Linked DNA regions of Sus scrofa. The protein of the gene in region 1 interacts with the protein of each later gene in a biochemical or structural test. Links are inferred from orthologs where the notes say so. Each region holds a gene or a part of one and is shown on either strand. Other genes may lie near its edges.

Region 1 (4,237 bases):
AGCCTGAGATGCAGGCTGTCTTGGGAGACAAAGCCTCAGTGGGACCGAATGCAGAGTATGTAAACCTGGTACCTCCCTTTACCTATTCCCCACCCACCCAATAATTCCTGCCATATACATGGGGATACATCTTGGGAAACTTCTCTGGAAGAATCATAATTAATTCTAATTACTATTTATCAGCAAGCTGCCACTGACCAACACTATGACATTGGTGTCACTGGCAGAGAACAAGGGACAGAGAATACTTGGAACTCTGGACAAAGTGTGTGTGGCCCATCCTATAGGGGAGGCCCCTCCAGGTCCCCTGGTGTGCAGGGCAAGCCCCTGTATTGATGAGAGCCACTGAAGCTACTGCTCTGCCCATGGCTCTTCCTCAGGCTCCTTTGCTCATTCCCAGAGATGACATTTTTTTTTTCTCCAGATTTACCTGCCTGTCCTCAGCTGGGGCCAGCCCAGGGCCAGGTGACAGGCAGGCGGGGGAGGGAATCAGCTCTGCCCAGCCTCAAGTGTTGGTGCAGCTGCTGGCTGCCCGGGTCACCTGCCAGCAAGGCCATCACAGGCCACGGGGGCCATGCCCACCCTCGTGGGGAGCTGTCACCTGCGGACCTGCAAGGCTAAAGACCAGGTCCGAGCGCGCGCACATACACACCTCTCCGACCCAGAGCTGTGTGGGTGTCTGGGCCAGAGTGCTGTCAGGTCAGCCAGGCGGGGTCGGAAGGTGGAGGGAAGCCCAGACCCCCCCACCCCCCGGCTAGCTGGAGTCAAAGGTCAGCCTGATATGGACACAGCTGGGGTCAAGTTTTTATCTGGGGTTTGGCCAGAACAGGTCCCGAGACTGTGGGGCAGAGCACACCCTAAGTGGGAAGACGGCCGGAAGTGGAGGGACCCTCTTGGCTGGCCCGAGGCAGCCTGGGCCCGGGTCATGAGTATGGAAACTGAGGCTCGAGCCGGCCCCGCCCCGGCCCCGCCCCGCGCCGGGACGTCACAAAAAGGCCCAAAAGGGCCGCGAGCCGGGCGGGGCAGCGCAGCGCAGCCCTGCCCGCGGCCCCGCGCACAGGCATCAGGGGAGCTCGTAGAGCCGGGGCGGCGGAGGCCTCCCAGGGCCTCGGAAGCGCCAAGGCGCCTGCGCGCGCGGCCCCCGGCTCCCGGCGGCGCGCTCGGCGGCCGGGGGAGGGATCGCTTCCCATCGTGCCCCGCGGGCGGGCGCGCAGGCGCGGTCGGGGCAGGCTGCGCGCAGGCGCGGGCGGCGGCGGGGGCGGGGCGCGGCGGCCGAGGCGAGGGCCGGGCGGCGGCGCAGAGCGAGTGGAGCCCCCGGGTGCCCCGGGCGGCGGCGGCGGCGGCGGCGGCGGCGGCGCAGAGGAGGAAGGCGGCCCCGGCCCCGGCCCGTCCCGCGGTCCCGCGGCCCCGCGGCCCCGCGCGCCCCCTGCCCCGGCCCCGGACCCGGGCCCGTCCGCCGCCGCCATGGCCCGGCCGCTGGTGCCCAGCTCGCAGAAGGCGCTGCTGCTGGAGCTCAAGGGGCTGCAGGAGGAGCCGGTGGAGGGCTTCCGGGTGACCCTGGTGGACGAGGGCGATCTGTACAACTGGGAGGTGGCCATCTTCGGGCCCCCCAACACCTACTACGAGGGCGGCTACTTCAAGGTGAGCAGCGAAGAGGGGGGCGGGCGAGCGACCCTGCTCCGGGTCCTCGGGGCCCCTCCTCCACCTCTGCTCCCTGCCCGCTCCCCTCGCGGGGCCCCCTCCCTCTGCTCCACTGCCTGGCCGCCTCCGGAGAGTTCGGGGCTCTCAGTCACCCCTTCTTCCCCGTCTGGCCTCAGGAGTCCCCGAGAAGCGCCCATCCCCTCTAAGCCCGCTTCAGGCCCCCGAGAGGAAACCTAGGACCCTCCGTGTTTCTCTGGGTGCAGGGTTCTTGCTTCCCCCAGCCCTTAGTGTTCCCCGCCTCCCGGCCCTGCTCGCTGCTCAGAGGAGACAAAAAAGCCTCCCCACAACCAGCCAATACTGTTGCGGGGAGCGCCGGCTTAGGAAGGGAGGGAGTGGGGGAGGGAGGCCCGCTGGCCTGGGGACTGGCTCGGCCTCCTGCTCGGGTTCCAACAGAGGCCAGGATGGGGCCTTGGCAGCAGGGACCTGCTTGGAAAGCGTCCACCCTTGCCGATAGCAGCCGGCCAGGCCCTCTTGACTTCATCCTGAGCTTTATGTAACCTGCTCTCTCTGACGGTCACTCCCACCCTCCTCCCTGTCCCTGGAAACCACGGAGCAGAACCCACCCCAGGTTCCACCTCAGAAGGTTGGGGTCCTGGCCTTTTTCAGGTTCCAATGAGTCGTTGGCTTCTTGGGCCCGAATCTCAAGCTCTCGTGGTTTCTGGGCCCTCGGTGGTGGCCCGAATCTCAAGCTCTCGTGGTTTCTGGGCCCTCGGTGGTGGCTTAAATCCAAGCAGTTCTCTCTTGTTGTCAGAGCTGGGAGGCAAGTGTTTTCCTGGGGACTTGTGTGTCATGGACTCCAGCCAAAACCTGGGGAGGATCTGAGTCTAGCCGTGGTCTTGAGGGACCCCTCCCAGATCAAAAGGACTTTGCTCCTTGAGCCAGAGGGACAAGGCAGGGGGTCTCCTTGGGTGAGAGATGGGGCCTGAACCATCAGCTGGGAACGAACACACACACACACACCCTGCCAAGAGCCCTGCAGGCCTGGCTGGGAGGCCTGGGTTGGGGGGTGGGGAGGCTGATGCCGCCTGGACAGATTCTGTGTTTGCACTTTTGGCTAGTTCAGCAACCTCAACAGAACAGCCTGAGCTACTGGCATTGCTGAGGTGGGATGGGGGGATGAGTGTGGACAGCTCTGGGCTGAGTTCTATGGTTGGAATCCATCTTCCCCATGCAGGGCACGGATTTAGGGTTGCTCACTAAGTGATCTAACCAGCCTCCCTCCCTGGTCTCTTTTGTGTGCTTCTGGGTACAACTGGCTGTGAGGATAAGGGCCGGTGCTCAGAGCTGGGAGAGCAGAGTCCTACTCTTCAGCCAGGCCAGGACTCTGGAAGGAAAGGAAAGGATGGGGAGGGGGGAATAGGGGGGTGGTTCTGGCTATTACTCTCTGTTTACAGGGGATTGTGGGTAGGGCCTTCTAGGCTGGCTTTGGGGGGAATAATCCTGTTTTTCTGAAGAAGGAAGGACTGGGTTCAGGGTGCTGCACATTTCTCATCTGCCTGCTATAGCATCTGTCCTCAGGCCAGCTTGGGACCCACGGTGGTCTCTGATCCTCGTGTCCCAAAAGATGCAGAAATAGCAGGGGCTGGAAGTGCCAGGGGGTCCACCATCGCTTCCCAGCCTCCTCCTCTGAGTTTTCCAGGCCTCACCCACTTCCCCATATGAGCCAGAGGGTCCTGGGCAGCAGGTGATGAAGGCATGCCCTGGAAACCCAAGTTTGGGAGCCCCTCCAGAGTTCTGTGCCCTCAGGCAAAGTGCTCTCCTTTTCTGAGCTGCAGTTTGCACAGCAATAAAGGCACCCTGGGACTTGGTGGGTGCTAGGTGCTTAGTCAGGGGAGGCCTGTCACCCTGCCTTGCTAAGGAAGCTTCAGTTGGTCTTGGGCTGTCACTTAGAAACCCAGCACTGGGCTTCGGAGACCCCAGGGCAGAGTCTGAGGCTTGAGTTCCAGGCTGGCAGAGGGACTTCCCTTGTGTCTCCAGCATAGGAGAGCAGTTCTCCACAGATGGGTTGAAGGACCTACAGCAGTGTATCCAGTGTGGCCCCTAGTATGCTGCCTGGCCTCTGAGAGCCTGAAGCACCACCAGATCCTGGGACTAGGGCTTAAATAGGCTGAAGCCAAGGCACAGCTTTCACCCATAGGGCCCTCCCCCATCTGCCCCGTGACCTTCCTGTCCGCCTTCCTGACCCCCCCGCCAGGACCGACACCTTTGGGTAGAGAGCCTCTCCGCCCAGCGCTGACTCATGTCCGCCCACGGCGGGCGCCTGCCCAGGGAGGTGTGGGGATGACTGCCCGGTGAACACGCGGCTATTTTAATCCCCCCACAAGCTGGAAGCTGAGGCCCAGGCCCCTGCTGGCATGTGCCCGCCCCTCCCCCAGGCCCACAGGACTGGAGCTACTCCCTGGCAGTGCCCATGCCCCCCAGCAGCAGGCAGGGACCGGGGACAGCTCTGGTGACCCCAAAAAAGCCCCAGGTTTGTGTGAGCTGTGGCCGGCCAGCGAGGTCCCTGGCCAGCCTGCTCTGGCCCTACTGAGCCCAT
Region 2 (4,114 bases), on another chromosome or scaffold:
TTAGCGTTATGTGCAGCCAGCCTGCTAAGGGCTTTACATGTACTCTTTCATTTAACCGTCTCGGGAACCCACGAACCGGGTTATTCTTCCATTTCACAGAGAAATTAAGGCACTGAGAGCTCAAATAACTTCCCAGGCTTGGTAAACAGCAGAATGAGGATGCAAAGCCAGATTTGTCTGACTCCACCACAATCCTTTACTGCCTTTCTAATGAATCCAACACCTAATAGAGATCCCCAGACGGTAACCTGAAGGTTCTCTTTCCTAAAGAAAGAGTTAAAAGCAAAAAAAAAAAAAAAAAAAAAAAAAGTTTGGGATGGAAATGCTGTAAAATTTGGTTGTGATGACTGTTGTACACCTATAAATGTAATAAAATTCATTAAGTAATAATAAAAAATTTAAAAAAACTATATATATATATATATTATTTTTTTAAAGTAAGCAAGCAAGCAACCAGTCAACCTTTCCTCAAAGAAAGCCAGATGGGGAATTTAGGTATATACTTATTTACCCTCACTCTGCAAGTCTTCATCTTTATTTCTTGTATCTGTCTCTTCTTCTATCACCTCCAGTTTCAGCTTAGAACAAGATCACCTCTTCTACAGACACTTTCAAAGCCTCCTAACTCTGTCCACTCACATGTTCGAATCTATTCAGAAGCTGACCACTGCCTATCATCACTCCCACACCTCTCAACAAGGCTCTGAGTTTTTATTTGCAACACCCTACAGTTTCATCTCAACACATCAGTGTGTCCTTTTAAAAGGTCACGTCACAACTCCGCTCAACAGCACCTCTAGCCCATCTCCCACTACCTTCTCCTTTGCTAATCCACTCTTGGAATATGGCTTCCACGTAGTTCCTTGAAAAAACATGACATTCCTATGCCCCAGGGTCTTTCCACTAGCTGTTCCCTCTGCTTGGGGTTCTCTTCCCCAAGGTATGTGCATGGCACATTCCTTCGTCTCCTTTATGCTTCTGCTTAAAGCTTGCTGTCCAAGTGAAGTTTTCCCTTAACGCCCTGCTTAAAATTGCAAACCAGCTTCCCACCCAAGGACCTCCAATCCCTTTTGGCTTGTTCCATTTTTGCTTTTATCCATAGCACGTATTCTAGTATACCATACACCAGATTTATGTTTCCTGCATCCTCTCTCCGAAGCAGAAACTCCACGAGGGTGGAAATGTTTTTGTTTTGCTCAATGCTATATCCCCAGTACCTAGAACAATGACTAGCATATAAAATGTGCTCAGCAAATATTTGCTGAATTAATGGTTTACATGGTTTACCAGCAAGAAAAACTGATAACCCCAGGTCAGTGCACTGTTTACCCTATGGCTTTGCATACTCCTGGAGTTCTGGATCCACTCTGGGAGGCACTTACTCATCTGCCTGAGAAGCCTGGTAACAGAGAGCTATTAGAGGGGAATGACGTGGTGCGTTTTACATTTCAGTCAGTCCACTCTGGCTCTGGGGGATGGATCTGGGGAGGATAAGGCTGGAATTATGAGTCCATTCCAATATTCAGATGTTGACAGCTTGAGAAATATTCAGGACACAAAAGGGAAAGATGTAATGATTGGATGGATGTTGGGGTTGGTGGGAATCTGACTGATTTTCAGGTTTGGGGGCTGGGCAATTGAACAGATAACACGGGCAGTCATGGAGACAGAGCATACCAGAATAAGCCCACTTGGGGATGGACCCGGGAAGAGAAGTCTCTTCTTCCACCTAGTTCAACATTCACTTTAGCAATCCCTTGACAAATAAGTAAAGTTGATTTTGGCAAAAACCTCAACCAGAGCAGCAGAATATAAACAAAAAGAATCCTAAAGGATCATTTCTTTGTTCTCATTTGTCAGTGGCACTAAGCTGGCCTTAGACCAGGCAGAGTCCTTCCTAAAGAGAAAGGCAGGAACGGATTCTCCTGGATTCAAAGTCTATTGTGCATCTTAAGATATACAGCTACCAACATTTCTGTTAACTTCTAAAGCAACGAATTTTCTCATCTCTTTGGAAAATAACTTCAAAATTAGGCAATTTTAAAAGCGCTCCATCCTAATGATCCTTAAACAAAGGTTTACCAACAAAATATTTCAAGCTACCACTTACTGCACCGATAGTTTGACCCTCATACCTTACCTGGAAAGTTCTCTCGATTTAGCTTAGGTCTGCGGACGATCACAAAGTCCTTTTCATTCCCTTTGCTCTTCAGCCGTTTTCGCGGAGGGCTCTGCGGGTGGCCCAGGTTTGAAAGCAGTTCCTGGGGGATGTTCTCACTGTCCACCTCCTCCTTCTCCAAGGCAGAGACCCCCATGCCTGAAAGCAGTTCAGAAGTCTTGCTAGAATCCCATCCCCACGTGAAGCTGGTGGTAACGTTGCTACTCTGGTCGGGAATCTCCTGGAGGTGCTTCCTGCAGATAAGCACAATAGCCCCCGTTCCTTTAAAAAACACACCCGTGAATAATTCCAAACAGGCCTAAAGGAAGCTGCAACTTATGCATTACCGAAAACGCTCACAGCAGCTAACTGAACTTGCATTTTAAGTGCCGGCGGCGAGTTCCCAAGAATGAAAGAAAAAAGAACCAAACACACCGAACAAATCGAAAAGGCTTTTTGATTTACGATCATGCAGAAGGCCTCAAGAATGTCTCAAAGTGGATGGAACAGATAAGAAGAGGGCAATTATACAGTGATTGAAAACAGGAGCAGAAAAGCCCAATAAGGGAAGCCAAATAATATCGCACGCTGATCACAGCACTAAAGCATCCACCCATCCACGTTTTCCCAAAGAGGAGGTTAAGCAACCATTCACATTGCAGCATTACAAACAATATTAGGAAGTAGCAAAACTCGCGGCCTAAAAGAATTAAGATGGTCCACTCACGGTCTGCCCCTTTCTGCAAACGGTTTACCTGTGCATGGCGTCCGCAGGTTCGGGAGTTTTAAACGCGTGCATTAATTGCAGAGGTGCCCGCCTCCCGGATTCCCGCTTTGGCGCGCGGCGGCGCACTGCGTGTGGCTCCAGCCCCCAGCAGTGAGACCCGCGAACTCTATCAACGTTCCATCCCCACCGCGCGCGCAGAAAACTTCTGCCCGCTCTCCTCCCCGCTACCGTCTGCGGCCCCGCTGCCTTCTGGGAATTGTAGTTTTCTCCCTGCCTGGCAATCCGGCTGCCTCGCCACTACTTCCTTTCCTCGCAGCTTTCCCCGCCTTCCATATACCCACAACCCCCCGCGGTTGCGGCACTGGACGGCCCACAGGGTAGGCGGGGAGGCGGAAGTGGGCGGTGCTCCAGCCGACCGGGCTATGGCAGCAGCTTGACGGGCGACAGGTTTTCTTTTCCCGGGAACCCCTAGGCCTTCTGGTGACAGCCACCGCCGTCGCCAAAGAGCGTGGGTTCCAGACCCCAGACGGCTGTGGCGGACAGGGGGTTTCCAGGTCCTTCTGGAATCTGTCCGGCGAGATCGGACGGTGAGCCTGAGGGGGGAGAGCCTGAGACATTTTGGGATCTGGGGCCAAGTGCAGGCGGCGAGAGAGGGACCCACGAGACCCCGAGAGGCCGCCGCCGCGGGGCCTACGTTCCTGGCCGCTGAGTGGAGGCAGTGGCCCGCCCCGCCCGCCAGGTGAGAGGTTGCGGCCGCGGGCGTCACACCTGCCTGTGTCTACCCCTCCGCCGGGAGCTGCTTCCTCCATCCGGGAGAGGGCAGCCCTTAGGATTGGGTCTGTGGACAAGATCCTTTCCTGATCTGTAAAATAGGCACTATGGCAACGAAGGATTATTTCACATCTTGCCGCCGTCAGGGTCAAACCAGAGGAACATGAGTGAGAGCATTTTGTAAGTGAAGGCGCAGTTTGAGTCAAAGGTGGTGGTTGAATTTTAGGGGATCAGGAGACCGCTGTGTTCCTGTCCGCAGTGGCAAAGCTGAGCATCCCTTTGCAGCCTTGAGCAGTCTTACAACACTAGCATGACTGTATCCGTATACGCTAGGGGCCACTAACAAAGCCTATCGGTTGCTCTCTCTCGACCGGCTGCTGCTGATTGCCTAATCTCTGAAAAGCAGGCTGCTTTTGCCTACCTCCGCGGAGAAGAGTTTGGAGATGGTTAGAGAGCGT

What was found. The genes of interacting proteins can lie anywhere in the genome.
Region 2: the proteins of CDC34 (region 1) and SKP2 form a complex in vitro, tested with the Homo sapiens proteins (3 studies listed by BioGRID, with this or other methods). The link is inferred for Sus scrofa from reciprocal best matches to the Homo sapiens genes CDC34 and SKP2.

The regions. Positions count from the first base shown.
Region 1 is NC_010444.4:77,765,414-77,769,650, reverse strand, and holds the start of CDC34 (ubiquitin-conjugating enzyme E2 R1), read left to right. Parts: upstream 1-1,318; 5' UTR 1,319-1,464; coding exon 1,465-1,641; intron 1,642-4,237. UniProt on the Homo sapiens protein: E2 ubiquitin-conjugating enzyme that accepts ubiquitin from an E1 ubiquitin-activating protein, and catalyzes its covalent attachment to other proteins by an E3 ubiquitin-protein ligase complex. In vitro catalyzes 'Lys-48'-linked polyubiquitination.
Region 2 is NC_010458.4:21,462,085-21,466,198, reverse strand, and holds the start of SKP2 (S-phase kinase-associated protein 2), read right to left. Parts: upstream 2,930-4,114; 5' UTR 2,922-2,929; coding exon 2,914-2,921; intron 2,413-2,913; coding exon 2,141-2,412; intron 1-2,140. UniProt on the Homo sapiens protein: Substrate recognition component of a SCF (SKP1-CUL1-F-box protein) E3 ubiquitin-protein ligase complex which mediates the ubiquitination and subsequent proteasomal degradation of target proteins involved in cell cycle progression, signal transduction and transcription.